Xenopus tropicalis: one gene and its partners. The protein of the gene in region 1 purifies or fractionates together with the protein of each later gene. This does not show direct contact. Links are inferred from orthologs where the notes say so. Each region holds a gene or a part of one and is shown on either strand. Other genes may lie near its edges.

Region 1 (4,087 bases):
ACATTGCTCTTCTTTCTCTGGCTGACTGCTTTAGACTTCTGTGACTGTGCACTGTCCATCAGGTCTTTTAGACCTTACACTGGTACTTTGTGCCTATGCAGGTGGGGTACAATCAGGGATTACCAAATGGGAGCCTATTACTTTGTGGCACAAGAAGTGAATTATGTTGTAATGTAGGACTTCCATGGTCATTACTGTCACTTGGCTCTGATTCTTCCAGCAAAGCACTGGGGGCTGGCATTCTAGCGTTAATTAGAGGCTGTCCTTCTTCACCTTCACCTATATTATTCCTGCCTATCACAGGATCGCCAATCTGAAGCTGAGCAAAGGAGTTCTCCAATGAAGAAGTAACATCAGAATGTGAAAGGGCATGACTTGCAGTTGTACTGAGGGATGTGTGCAGCCTTGTTGGTAACACAGGTGTAGGTTGACTTGAAGAAGCTCCAAGTGCTGCCATGTTGTCCGCACCATCTGCTGAGCTCTCTCGCGCTAGATTTACATTTGCTGCATCACATTCAAGCCTTAGCCCAGCAACTCCTTTTTTTGGTATATCTACAATATCTCTCTTGATTTTTCTACGCCGTCCATGCTCATTACGCCTGTATTGAACCATGTTCTCCAAGTCTGCTACATAGAGGAAGCCAGCTATCAACATCTCTGTGCTCTTTTTGCCTTTTGTGAAGGCATCTTCAAGCTCTCTGCTTGTCCGCTCATCATACTGCCACCAACCATTTCTTCCCTCATAATACCATGCATATTCTCCATTTCCCCTACTTGCAGATTTCAGTTCCTCAGGTGACAGTAATGTAGGCTTATCAAGAAAGTCCTCAGGAATCTCTTGTCTGCACAAAGCACAACGCCTTCCAAGCCAAGAAGCCCCCTTCACACACAAGTAGCAGAATATGTGTTTACAAGGTAGACTAACTGGATGCACACAGGTCTGCAGGCATATAGCACATTCAGGAACAGACAATGAAGGAGCACTGTTGGGACAAGGCTCAACCAGTTTCTTATTAGTGGGCAGCATGTTAGCAGAGTGGCTAACTTCACCACAACCAGCCATCCTGTTGGTAAAAAAATTAAAAGGTTTTATGAGGTTGATTAGAGAAACTGAAAACCAGTCTATGATAAACAATTGAATTGTTCCAGTTTAAAAACGGATGAACAGAAGAAAAACTGGCAGCATAGGTGTTATTATTGTTTACAGATCTTTATTTCAGTTCCATTTCTCAGGTGCTATATCCAGATGAGAAATAGAACCTCGATTTTATGTTTTCCTGGAATTGATACCATTTTTTCCATGTTAAACCATTTGCGCCACTTTGACAGTCCCTTGGAAGACATAAAGTTAGAGTTCTATTGTTATTGAACAGGAGAAAAAGTTCAGCAGGGCTTTTCAGAAGCCAGCCAGCCACCCACTGGAAATTTATATACTTAGGATATTTTATGGAATCTCTCTCAGAAACAGCTGCAATACACCCCAAAGTAACTGCTGTGCCCTGAAACTTAAATTCCTTAAACTAGCAGTAGATCATAGTAGATGAATGGGAACTCAAAAAGCATCTTTTCAAGTTAGCCTTTTTGGGGGAGCTTTATTAAAGTATTTTAATTGAATGAAAAAAAAAAATGTGATTTGTGTGTGTGTTTGGTAGAGGTGAGGGGGGTTAAAGGAATACTGTCATGAGAAAACATGTTTTTTTCAAAACGCATCAGTTAACGGGGTTTCTCCAGCAGAATCCTGCATTGAAATCACTTTTTCAAAAAAAGATTTTTTTATATTTAATTTTGAAATTTCACATGGTTCTATCCATATTCTTCATTTCCCAGGGTGCTACAGCAATGTGACCTGTGCTCTGATAAACTTCAGTCACACTTTACTGCTGAGCTGCAAGCTGGAGTGATATCACCCCCCCCCCCAGCAGCCGATCAGCAGAACAATGGGAAGGCAGCAAGATAGCAGCTGCCAGTATATATCAGAATAGCACTCAATAGTAAGAAATCTACGTCCGGCTTGGGACTCCTCCAGTTACATGGGAGTAGGTTATCTGAAAGCAGTTCTAATGTGTAGCACTGGGTCTTTCTGAAAGCTCAGAATCAGGCACAATGCACTAAGATGGCTGCCTATACACCAATATTACAACTAAAAAAAGATACATTTGTTGGTTCAAGAATACAATTTTAAATGGTGAATTGAATTATATTTTATGTAAACAGTGTAATTTGGTAATAAAAAGTACAACATAAAATTCATGACAGTATCCCTTTAACTAGATGCAGATGAGACATGATTATTTGGAACACAATTTAATACAGTATAGAATGTTTCTTCTTGACATGAAGCCCATGTTCAATTTTCCGTATTGCAAAAAGTCAAGGTTTAATACAGTATATACTCTATAAAGTAATAAAAAGAAGAGAGCATTTGAGCTGTATAAAGCAGCTGTGGTTTCGCCCCTCTCTTTAGCACTATATGGGGAAAATGATACGTTCACTTGTTTAATTGAAATATTTAAGAAGCTCAGTGTCTTAAGATCGCTCTAAAGGCTCACCCCTTTTGGAAAGCGCTGTACATACAATAAAACATGCATTTTTTATGAGGCCTTAGGTATTTGTGCCAGACACCCTACAGTGAAGAAATGCAAGCTTCTGAGAAATCACAATACACTCGGCCTAAATTCAATGGGAATGAGAACTTCGAATAAATAATTTAGAAGTAAAAGCGCAACCTGACATACCGCCCAACAGTCCCGCTTCTCGCGGGACGCTCTCGATATTTTTAACACAGCCCGCAGAACCAGATTGCCGTTTAATCGTCCAACAACGCCATTAATATCCAGCTCCTTGGCTCCTGCCGGAAAGCTAATCCCGACGTCAAAATTGTCATCTCGCGAGACTGTGGCGTCACTACCACACGTATATAAGCGCAGTGACGCGGCACGTAGAGGGGTGACAACTTACTTCCTTGTTTCACAATTATAAGGCGCTAGTAATACAAGGAAGCGTGTTTGCAAACGTTTGCTTCACAGCTAGTAGTTTTCGCAGTTATAGAAAGAAAGAGTCATTTCGTGGTGGTAGCCTACTATGCATGCTGCCTATATTTAGGCACAACTAAGTATTTGTTTTTTCTTATTAGAACTTACACTTGTGTCAGTGAACAAACCCTATTTGCTGGGTTGACAAATGATTTTATTCTTTTCACGGCTTCTGTTTTATTTTTTAGGTGGATATTGTGTTGCAAAGTCTTTGTTTTACCTAAAACGGTTTTTTTTGGCTCTGCTTTAATGAACCTGGTAACAAAGAAAAATAATTTCTTATCAAACATGCTGCCATCAGTGCCTCTTCAATTTGACTAGCAATGAAAGGGTCTTTTTTTTTTTTTTTTTTTTAAACTAGGGCCAGGTGAAGGTCCCAATGTTTTGTTTTTTTTTTGTTTAGTTTTTTTTTAAGTAAGGGCAACAATTACAATTTAGGGACAAAACTGGTTATTTAGGAGAAGACATTGGGTGAAATAGAGCAGCAGTAATCTTTACGTTTTAGGCTCATTTGTTCACGGTGGTGTCAGTTTTCCAGGTTTTATTTTTTCGTAAACTAATGCAAGACTTTTCACAAGTTTTTAGGCTTTTTTTTTTTTTTTACATAAGAGGATCCTGTGGCCATTTTTTGAATTGCCAACAGTAATCTTTAGTTTATATTTTTACAATTTAGTGACAACAGTGACATTCAGAAGACTTAAAATATCCTAAAGTAATCTTTTACTCTGGTCCTAACTCCAAAGTGCACAGGTTCTACAGTGGCTTGCAAAAGTATTCGGCCCCCTTGAACATTTCCACATTTTGTCACATTACAGCCACAAACATGAATCAGTTTTATTGGAATTCCACGTGAAAGACCAATACAAAGTGGTGTACACGTGAGAAGTGGAACGAAAATCATACATGATTCCAAACATTTTTTACAAATAAATAAGTGCAAAGTGGGGTGTGCGTAATTATTCAGCCCCCTTTGGTCTGAGTGCAGTCAGTTGCCCATAGACATTGCCTGATGAGTGCTAATGACTAAATAGAGTGCACCTGTGTGTAATCTAATG
Region 2 (3,513 bases), on another chromosome or scaffold:
TGTATGTTCTCACTGCATGGGTTTCATCTGGGTACGTCGGTTTCCTCCCACACTTTAAAAACATACAGGCACGTTAATTGGCTTCTGATTAAACTGACCATAGTGTGTGTGAATGTGATAGGGACCCTAGATTGTAAGATCTGGGGCAGGGACTGATGAATAATCTCTGTAAAAGCGCTGCGGAAATGTAGCTGCACTATATAAATAACAGCAATAAATGAAATAAAAAATAATTACTGCTCTAATTTCATGCCGTGTGTGCCTATACGTGCATGGGTACTGACCTCAGCTTACTCTGGTGCCTTTGATTTTCTGCAGTTTGAAAAGGAGGAGCAGGTCCACAGCATTGATATTGGCAATGAAGGTTCTGCGTTTGTGGAAGTGCTGGTCGGACACTCCACTTCAATCAGCGAGCAGGAATATGAGGTATGGCAGGTACCTATAGTGCCATATGCAGTGGTTGGGATGATTGTTTATTAAAGTAAAAAAGATTACCATTAATATGGAGGCAGAAAAAGCACAGGCTATAGCGAGAGCATCCTATGTCTGTAAAGCTCCCTAAACATTTAGCAAACGGAAATGGCATTTAAGTTGGTCGTGCTCCTTGAGGATGGGGGTGCTGCTGGTTAAGGAGAACTCTGGACACCATCAACTACCCAGGGCCAATCTCATACTTAGGGATAGTGTGGTAAATACAATACCGTGTCCTCAGCGCTTTGTGATTAATGATATAGAGTCAGTGAAGAAAGTGACGAAAACTCTGTGTGTTCCTGCTTAGGGATAGTTTGCTATAGCATTTTACTCTCCAGAGCTCACAGAATGTAAATGCAGATAGCAAGTTAGTACAGTTGTGAGGAATACAGACCTGATGTGCCAATTCCCATCTTGCTTGTCTCTGCATAGGTCCTCCTGGGAATGTCATCGTTCATGTCTCCTAGCGAGAGCAAGAATGAAAGCAACCTGAATCGGCTGCGAATGTTCGGACCAGACAAGCTCGTGAAAGGAGCAGCTGAAAAGAAATGGGATCGGGTGAAGATTGTGTGCACCCAACCCTACACTAAGGTGTGCAGTGTCTGCTTACAGAGCGGAGAGCTTTGTGGGATATATAATTAACAAACAGAATGTAGATACAATTAGTATTTGTTGTGATGTGTGGGTCGAGGTCAGGTAAGTTAGAGTTGAAATTTGGGCGACCGTTGTGGGTTCAGGTTGGGTGCGGATCAGGCATGAGAAGTACACTTTTCCTTTGCTGAAGTGTGGTAATTTCTGTGGAGTTTGTTGGCAAGCCTTTAGTATATAGCTGGATGCACGTTTTTCTATAAACCATTTCATGTTCTCTTGTCTCATTAGAACCTTGCTTATGGTATTTCATTCATACGTCTGAACTCCCCTCCAGAGGATGGCTCGCCCACCGCTCCCTCACCGGTATGCATTCTACCTGTGCTTGCTTGACTGATACATAAGCAAATACAAGGGGTTCTACATAAGGAACAATTCATTATCTGTGATATAGGGGACCATAAATATTTCTTTGCTCATGCCCTTTTTAATCCCGTCTTCATTTAATCACTTACCTAATAGCAAAGGTTACTAACATGTAAAACTTTATATCATTCATAGGTTGTAGTTCCAGTGATATCTAAGACTGCAAATCAGCACTTATCCCAGAACTTGTGGTTGGCCCAAGGCAACCACAGCCCTTTAGCAGGGAAGATCTGTGCCCCCAAAGATGCCCCAGTAGCCCCCCCCATATCTTCTTTTCTGCTGGTTCCCTGCACATTCAGCTCTGTCTCATCAGCTTACATGACAGGCTGACCTAATTTTGAACAGTGCCGGTTTAGGAAAGTTCACCTTGTGTTTATGCTGCCATGGATTATAAATCATTACTATGCTCTTCTGCAGAAAGTGACCAAACTTGGGCAGTTTATGGTAAAGGAAGAAGAGAACTCATCTCCTTCTATGCGTCCCGGGAGTCTGTTTTTCAGCCGCACCAGCAAGCCGCAGGTTACTCCTCCGAAAAGTAAGCTATTCTGCACATATCCCTTGTAATTCCCTCTATTAGTTATTTTCTGAAATGTGTGAGTGCCCCTGAAACTTGTACAGAAACTGTGTGCATTGCATTACCTACGCTATTAGGTACATTGCAGGTACAGTAACTCTTGAGTCATAGGGTTACTTTACTTCATGGCTTGTACTGCAACCATATGGCAAAACAGCTATAAAGGGGTTGTTTACCTTTTGAGTTAACTTTTACTATGATGTAGAGAGTGATATTCTGAGATATTTTGCAATTGGTCTTCATTTTTTATTATTTTCAGTTCAGGAGCTCTCCAGCCTGGAGTTTCAGTAGTTATTTGGTTGTTAGGGTCAGAGTTACCTTAGCAACCAGGGCGTGGTTTGAATGAGAAACTGATATATGAATAGGAAAGGGACTGAATAGAAAATAAAGTAACAATAACAATAATACTGTAGCCTAACAGAGCAATTGATTTCTGGCTGCCGGATCAGTGACCCCCTTTTCAAAACTCCATAGAGAAGGTGGCAAGTTATTCAAAACACATAAATAATGAAGGGCAATTGAAAAGTTGCTTAGAATTGACCATTCTATAACATACTAAGAGTTTTTAAATTCTCCCTCCAACACTATTCCCTTTATACTGCCACTTAGCTATTGTGTTCTTTTACAGCTCCACCAGCCACACAAAGCTATGCGTCTGCGACATTACAGGGCACAGGAGAGGCCAGCTCCAGCACTGAAAAACAGACTGTTAAAACCCCACCAAGTAATAACATCCCAAAGGTGAGTAAGTTGGGTGTGGGCATGGATACACCGACCGCCTCTGTCTCCTCTATCAGCATAGGGTATACCTATCATACCCATGTATGCGCTACAGATGTTCCAAATGTGGCAGCTTTATTGTCAGCTGTGTCCCAGAGATGTTACACCATGTCCCTTTGGGCACTAACCCATAACCCTTGCTGGCTACGTATAGGGGGATTGAGACTACAGAAAGTCTTCTAGAGCTTAAAAAGGAAGGTTGTGGTCAGACAGCAAGAAATAATGTATTTTTACTGAGGGTCAAGTTGGAAAGATGAGTTGGTAACGGCAGCATAGGAGCTTATGGACAAAAGTAAGAGGGGAAATATATTTGTCTCAATGTTTTCATTAAACAAATACAAAGAATTGGTCCCCTTTAACATCCAAAGACCAATGCCAGTGAAGTTCTAGTTTGTTCTGAGCAGTTGCTGTTCTCTCTAGGAACCGTCATCTGGTAAACGGAAGTTTGAGTTCAGTAAAGAACCCTCAAGCCACTCGGCAGTCAAGAAACACGAAGTCAATAAGTCCCCATCTTCCGCCAAAGAGAGCACATCACAGCCAGCACCCAAAAAGCCAAAAGGTAAAAAAAATTTTTTTTTTCCTTCACTTGGATGACACCTTGAGGCTGGGACACAGTAGCAGCGTACCTGTCACGTGATTTCTGTGAGCCTTGAGATTTAATTCCACGTCTGGGT
Region 3 (3,513 bases), about 54 Mb from region 1:
GCTTGTAGCAACCTGAAATAGTTACATTATAGGGTTCCAGATGATTCTTATGATTATTCTAAGCATTCTTCTATAAGAATTGCAGTGCAGAGTTACTCCTACAGAATAACTGTGATGTGTTGCTGCATTGCTTTTGCTTTGTACCCAAGGCATCACATTGTCATGTGTTTCCTTGCAAATCCCCAGCTGACTCCACTCCAGGAGATGTGCGTGAGAAGCTCGTTCAGAAGATAAAGCTGGTTTTGAGCTCCGGCTCAGATGAGGAATGCGCCATATGTTTGGATTCTTTAAACATGCCAGTTATTACTTACTGTGCTCATGTATTCTGCAAACCTTGTATCTGTCAGGTTATCCAGCATGAAAAGGTTAGTGATATGTGACCACGGATGTTTAACTAGGTGTTGGGAGTCAACTAAGAGCCGCAATTCTTCGTTCTATGGCAATTGTTTTATTTGTTATAAGCTTTAAGTGGTTAAAAGCAACCATTTGCACAACACTGCAGTTATGATATTGAGGGATATAACAGGTCTGATTCTGTTGGTTGATGGCTTCTTTTGATAGATTTGAGATTCCATCAGCTGGCCAGTGTCTTCCAAACTCCTCTGTTGCATTCAGTATTTAGATCTGTGGGCTAAGTAGTTAAAGGTATAAAATATGTATCTGTGCTATGTTTATGGTTATTAGGCTTAAATTAAATGCTAATACAGGTATGGGACCAGTCTCCCCGTGTGCCAGAGCCCTTAAAGGTGTCCTTACGTGTTAAGATCTGCTTATTTGATGAGCAGATTGTCTCCCAATATACCTACCTAAGGTGGGCGATATTGGGCTTATTTGATCGTTTGGCCCTAGGGCCAAACAATCAAATTCAAAGGATGGGTATGGGAGCCGTCGGACCCAGCATCAATGAGCCAGTGCAGTCCCCACTCTGATGAGAAAATCAAGCCTGTCTGATCAATAATTGACCGATTTTCTGCCAGATATCAATCATGCAGGCCCGTCGGAAGGCCCCATACATGGGCAGTTAAGCAGCCAAATTGGTCTAAAGGACTCAAATTAACATGTTTATCTAGTCTACTATAAAATTATTTTAACATTAAAGGGGTGGTTCACCGTTAAGCATGCTATAGAATTGCCTATTTTAAGCAACTTGGTTGGTTAAGCAAATTGGTCTGCATTATTTATGTCTTATTTAATTGCTTATAATGGGGTCTATGGGAGATGGCCTTTCCGTAATTCAGAACTTTCTGGATTACTGGTTTCTGGATAATGGTCCCATGACTGTACCAAAAACTCTCTATGGAGAAAGATAACCCTTAATTAAGTTTGAATAAAAAGCATAGCCCTAGATCAGGGATCCCCAACCTTTCTTACTCGTGAGCCACAGTCAAATGTAAAAAGACTTGTAGAGCAACACAAGCATCATACAAGTTTATGGAGGAGCCAAATGAGGGCTAAGATTGGCTATTAGGCAGCCTCTATGCACACCATCAGCTTACAGGGGGCTTTATTTGGTAGTAAATCTTGTTTTTATTCAACCAAAACTTGCCAACAAGTCAGGAATTCAAAAATAACTACCTGGTTTGGGGGCACTGAGAGCAACATCGAAGGGGTTGGTAAGCAACATGTAGCTCACGAGCCACTGGTTGGGGATCCCTGATCTAGATCTTCACACAGAGTACAATAGGGTTTTCATGAGATGAATAAAAAGTTTCCCCCTTCAACTACACTGACCTGGGACACGTGTCAGGCAGGATCAGATTGAAATTTGGAGCGTCATTGTGGGTTGCGTGCCATTCAGACTGGGGTGCAGAAGTACTGAATGGAGCAAGAAGATGCAGGTAGGGGTTGGGTGCAGGAACTACAATGGCAGTATTTTGCAGCTTTGCGTCGGGTGCTATTTGAGTTTTGTTTTTGTTTAACCCCACATTACTACTAGACATTTTTGAGGCTCATATACAGTGGAGGAAATAATTATTTGACCCCTCACTGATTTTGTAAGTTTGTCCAATGACAAAGAAATGAAAAGTCTCAGAACAGTATCATTTCAATGGTAGGTTTATTTTAACAGTGGCAGATAGCACATCTAAAGGAAAATCGAAAAAATAACTTTAAATAAAAGATAGCAACTGATTTGCATTTCATTGAGTGAAATAAGTTTTTGAACCCTCTAACAAAAAACAGAGGTCAAACGTTTCTTGTAATTGATGACCAAGTTTGCGCACATTTTAGGAGGAATGTTGGTCCACTCCTCTTTGCAGATCATCTCTAAATCCCTAAGGTTTCGAGGCTGTCTCTGTGCAACTCTGAGCTTGAGCTCCCTCCATAGGTTTTCTATTGGATTAAGGTCCGGAGACTGACTAGGCCACTCCATGACCTTAATGTGCTTCTTCTTGAGCCACTCCTTTGTTGCCTTTGCTGTATGTTTTGGGTCATTGTCGTGCTGGAACACCCATCCACGACCCATTTTCAGTTTCCTGGCAGAGGGAAGGAGGTTGTCGTTCAGGATTTCACGATACATGGCTCCGTCCATTTTCCCGTTAATGCGAATAAGTTGTCCTGTGCCCTTAGCAGAAAAACACCCCCAAAGCAAAATGGTTCCACCCCCATGCTTGACGGTGGGGACGGTGTTTTGGGGGTCATAGGCAGCATTTTTCTTCCTCCAAACACAGCGAGTTGAGTTAATGCCAAAGAGCTCTATTTTGGTCTCATCAGACCACAGCACCTTCTCCCAGTCACTCACAGAATCATTCAGGTGTTCATTGGCAAACTTCAGACGGGCCTGCACATGTGCCTTCTTGAGCAGGGGGACCTTGCGAGCCCTGCAGGATTTTAATCCATTGCGGTGTAATGTGTTTCCAATGGTTTTCTTGGTGACTGTGGTCCCTGCTAATTTGAGGTCATTAACTAACTCCTCCCGTGTAGTTCTAGGATGCTTTTTCACCTTTCTCAGAATCATTGACACCCCACGAGGTGAGATCTTGCGTGGAGCCCCAGAGCGAGGTCGATTGATGGTCATTTTGTGCTCCTTCCATTTTCGAACAATCGCACCAACAGTTGTCACCTTCTCTCCCAGCTTCTTGCTAATGGTTTTGTAGCCCATTCCAGCCTTGTGCAGGTCTACAATTTTGTCTCTGACATCCTTGGACAGCTCTTTGGTCTTTCCCATGTTGGAGAGTTTGGAGTCTGCTTGATTGATTGATTCTGTGGACAGGTGTCTTTTATACAGGTGACTAGTTAAGACAGGTGACCTTAATGAGGTTGACTAATTGAGTAGAAGTGTCTAACCACTCTGTGGGAGCCAGAACTCTTAATGGTTGGTAGGGGTTCAAAAACTTATTTCACTCAATGAAATGCAAATCAGTTGCTATCTTTTATTTAAAGTTATTTTTTCGATTTTCCTTTTGATGTGCTATCTGCCACTGTTAAAATAAACCTACCATTGAAATGATACTGTTCTGAGACTTTTCATTTCTTTGTCATTGGACAAACTTACAAAATCAGTGAGGGGTCAAA
Region 4 (3,513 bases), on another chromosome or scaffold:
CATTGCAATCTTTTGTGCACCAGAATTGTCGTGTCCAGCTGATGGCGTTCAGTGCTTTGGAATAGCAAAAAGGTTGCCACGCATTCGTACCTTTAGCTGTTGGAGTGTAGTGGCTGTTTTCCAGTCCTTATCATCACGGAAACGTGTGCAGCGTGGGAAGCGAATGGATAACCCAGCAGCTGTATGAGCCTCTGCCTTTGAGTACTCTGCACCTGTAATTTCCCAAATGGGAGCTTTCTATGGTGAAAAATCAGGAATGAGTTTAGTATCTTGTCTCATGCACGAATATATTAAAGAATGCTGATTTGCAGGAGAACCTATGAAAAATTACAGCTGCTATACATAGTAGGTATCAATAAGTTTGCTTTCCAGGTTAAAAATAGACATTCATAAGGCTAAAAGATGCATATGAGCTAGTTTGCTGCACACAATTAATTCATGATATAATTAGATAGGACTCTGCAGTGGGCAGACTGGTCAAATATTAGGACACCTACTTGCCATCTCATCTCCACAGAATGTTTAAGCATAGTGAGTGAATACATTTAATGGCTCACCGAGCTACCAAACTGACATTGTCACAATTACCACAAAACCATTTAGGCAGTAGTTCACCTTTAAATTAACTTTCATTGAACAGACACTGAAAAGCTGGAAAGAGGCAGCAGGCAGAAAATCATTCAAAAACAATAAAAAAAATGAAGGCTAATTAAAAAGTTTCAAAAGTACAACACAGTAAAAGATAACTTAAAGGTGAAATTTAAAATTGCAACAGAATATTCAGCTACAAAGCTGTTTAATTATTTTACCCCTTGCAAATACTACCTTGGGATCATGTATAATGAAATCTGGGAAATAGTTCTTGTTGATTTTAAGCCATGATGGAATCTTAGATGGATCCTGTTAACAAAAGAAAGGAAGGCATCACATCATGTACATGGTTTTACATTGTATATACGTTTTCCACATAAGTTATGCTTTTAAAAATATAGATATAAAGATAAATGAAAAATACTAAATACATTTTTCATATTTCCATATGCATAGTGCATCACATTAAAAACATATTAGGGAAAAGAAGAAACTAAAAGAATCCTTTATGGGGCAACAACAACAAAAATGCTGAATTACCATAAGCGCTCAGAATATAGAATCCATAAATGTAGCTATAGTGTCCTCTACAGATCCAGTCATCTTTTACATAGTGAATCTTTTGGATTTTGGTTAAACCAAGCTTAAACTCAAGGCTATCCCTAAGCCAAAGTGAGGCCAAAAGTCCATTTGGTCACAGAAAAAAACATGTCTTTAGAGAATATTACCTGCCTTGTTTAAGCCTTTAATGGCTAATTTAAAAATTTGATGAAGAGGTGAATTTGAAATATTGTATTGTAAATTAAGATCCGTTTTAAAAGATTAATAATTTTTATCCAGAATTCTTTAGCTATGGGACAAAACCACCAGTTATGTATCAAAGAGTCAGTATATGAGCATATACTACAACAGAGAGAGGAAGTTAAGTCTATTTTTTGTTTTCTTTGACGGGTCATATACCATTTTATCAATAGTTTGAATTAGAAGTCATTGGTTGCAATGTTTATCACAGATCTAGTTCTATCCCAGATATTATCAACAGGAAGCAAGGGCTCCAAAACAGGACAGTATAATATATATAATAATAATAATATACTGCATACTGAGAGTATAAGAGAGTAAATGGCAAACTAAAAAAAAAATATATAACTTAGGCCATTCAATAAAATTGGGGGTTGTAGTAGCACCTAGTGTAGATAATGTGCCTTGTATAGAGGCACCATCTAACTGCAGGCAGAAAAAAAGTGTGCTTATTACCCATACACAATGAATAAAGCTTATACCATACAGTCCTGATTTATTTTCAGGGTCATAATGGTGCCATACAACACAGTCATCAATGCCCTTTTATTCCCACCTTTTCATTACAGAGTATAAGGCTTAAGAAGGAAAAAAAAAACCCGAAGCAGGGAAAATTAAATCAGACTCGCAATGCAATCATCCACAAGACAAGACTAACCTTGCTGATTTTGACCATGTTAAGCTCCTTCTGAAGGCGTTGCAGAGTAGCATCATCATAACCACTTGAACATTTTGTCACAGTGCACCACTTCTGACTTTCAGGATCATAGCAACCCATGAGAAAGATGGACATTATACCCCCTATAAAATGTTTAATAATTAAATAAAAACCTTGAATTATTTCTCCTTAAAGTACTGTGCTGAATATAGCCAAAAAGTTATTTATAATAGATAAAATTTACTTTTGAAAAAATAAGGGCAGCTACATTTACCATTTGCTCCCTTTCCATAATAAGCTCCCAAAACTGCCAAGTCAGCGGTGTCTGCCATTGCACCTTCATTCAAGTAATCCTTCTTTACTTTAAGCCAATGACGTTTCCCTGGCTCATAATTACTCTGGTGTGAACAAGAAAAAATTGACTGCGGAATCTCATATAGATGCAATTAGGAAGATGCTCTTTATCTAACTTAAATTACCTTTAAGTCCTTTAATACCAGACCCTCCAATCCCTCACGGATAACACGGGTGATCATGTCAGCCAGATCAGAAGCTTTCTGCAATATAAACAGGTTTTAGTTACAATAACAAAAAATACTAAAGGACGAGCAGATGTGGAATAGGTTGCAGGTACAACCAGGAATGAATTACAGTTTGATCAAGGATTTGAGCAAGGTTTTATGCCTGTGACAGTACTTACTGTGACATGTTTCATCTCAGAGAACAGAATGTGATTAGGGATTTCAACCATGTTATCCCGCATAAACTTTCGGCGCTCACTAAGTGGCCTGCAAAAAGTGGTTATTGGTAAGCAGCTCAAAGAAACATCTTTCATTTTATAAAATACAGTCTTGATCTGAATATGCTCACCGATCCATTAAGCTCACTCCATTGAAGTAAATGCAATCGAAAACAAACAAGCACACATTGGCATCTTTGAAAGCAGCTTTCTGTGAAGGAAATTAAATTAAAATATATTATTCCAGGTAAAATAGGAACACAAAGAAAATGTATCTATATTCCTGCAGCTGCAAAGCCTTAGAAATGCCAGGTTATAATCAGAACCCAGTGCAAAAAATCTGAAGTGTTTATACTCTAGTCTAGATCAACTGGTTCCTTAAAGACATTAGACATTAAAAATCATATATACCTTATGAACACCTAATGTGCCAAATGGAAGTGGCTTGCCAGTATTGGTATCTATAAGAAGAACTTCTGCATCCAGGATCATACTGTTTCCTCCTGGAAATGCTTTAGGTATAAAATCCTTAAAATGAGCAACCTGTAAAAAAAAAAAAAAAGTTGTAACCATGTATCTAAACACAACAAATAAGGTTGCTAAACACAAATGATACAAATAGTACATTATAAAAAAAATGACCTTATGGGGCAGCACTGGCTTCAGACTGCGGCTGAAGTAGCTGAAGTGATCTCCATTCTTATGTACTTGGACTCTTTCACCA

Evidence for each region.
Region 2: the proteins of rnf146 (region 1) and xrcc1 purify together in Homo sapiens (co-immunoprecipitation; 3 studies listed by BioGRID and IntAct, with this or other methods). This does not show direct contact. The link is inferred for Xenopus tropicalis from reciprocal best matches to the Homo sapiens genes RNF146 and XRCC1.
Region 3: the proteins of rnf146 (region 1) and hltf purify together in Homo sapiens (affinity purification with mass spectrometry; 4 studies listed by BioGRID and IntAct, with this or other methods). This does not show direct contact. The link is inferred for Xenopus tropicalis from reciprocal best matches to the Homo sapiens genes RNF146 and HLTF.
Region 4: the proteins of rnf146 (region 1) and lig3 purify together in Homo sapiens (co-immunoprecipitation; 3 studies listed by BioGRID and IntAct, counting the BioPlex papers as one, with this or other methods). This does not show direct contact. The link is inferred for Xenopus tropicalis from reciprocal best matches to the Homo sapiens genes RNF146 and LIG3.

What each region holds. Positions count from the first base shown.
Region 1 is NC_030681.2:67,900,128-67,904,214, reverse strand, and holds the start of rnf146 (E3 ubiquitin-protein ligase rnf146), read right to left. Parts: upstream 2,812-4,087; 5' UTR 2,736-2,811; intron 1,065-2,735; 5' UTR 1,064-1,064; coding exon 113-1,063; 3' UTR 1-112. UniProt on the Homo sapiens protein: E3 ubiquitin-protein ligase that specifically binds poly-ADP-ribosylated (PARsylated) proteins and mediates their ubiquitination and subsequent degradation. May regulate many important biological processes, such as cell survival and DNA damage response.
Region 2 is NC_030683.2:118,935,107-118,938,619, forward strand, and holds part of xrcc1 (DNA repair protein XRCC1), read left to right. Parts: intron 1-318; coding exon 319-426; intron 427-903; coding exon 904-1,062; intron 1,063-1,350; coding exon 1,351-1,425; intron 1,426-1,902; coding exon 1,903-2,020; intron 2,021-2,687; coding exon 2,688-2,800; intron 2,801-3,259; coding exon 3,260-3,398; intron 3,399-3,513. UniProt on the Homo sapiens protein: Scaffold protein involved in DNA single-strand break repair by mediating the assembly of DNA break repair protein complexes. Negatively regulates ADP-ribosyltransferase activity of PARP1 during base-excision repair in order to prevent excessive PARP1 activity.
Region 3 is NC_030681.2:122,173,760-122,177,272, reverse strand, and holds part of hltf (helicase-like transcription factor), read left to right. Parts: intron 1-186; coding exon 187-365; intron 366-3,513. UniProt on the Homo sapiens protein: Has both helicase and E3 ubiquitin ligase activities. Possesses intrinsic ATP-dependent nucleosome-remodeling activity; This activity may be required for transcriptional activation or repression of specific target promoters.
Region 4 is NC_030686.2:27,249,226-27,252,738, forward strand, and holds part of lig3 (DNA ligase 3), read right to left. Parts: coding exon 3,432-3,513; intron 3,333-3,431; coding exon 3,201-3,332; intron 3,001-3,200; coding exon 2,921-3,000; intron 2,839-2,920; coding exon 2,751-2,838; intron 2,608-2,750; coding exon 2,530-2,607; intron 2,449-2,529; coding exon 2,325-2,448; intron 2,194-2,324; coding exon 2,051-2,193; intron 901-2,050; coding exon 826-900; intron 238-825; coding exon 91-237; intron 1-90. UniProt on the Homo sapiens protein: Isoform 3 functions as a heterodimer with DNA-repair protein XRCC1 in the nucleus and can correct defective DNA strand-break repair and sister chromatid exchange following treatment with ionizing radiation and alkylating agents.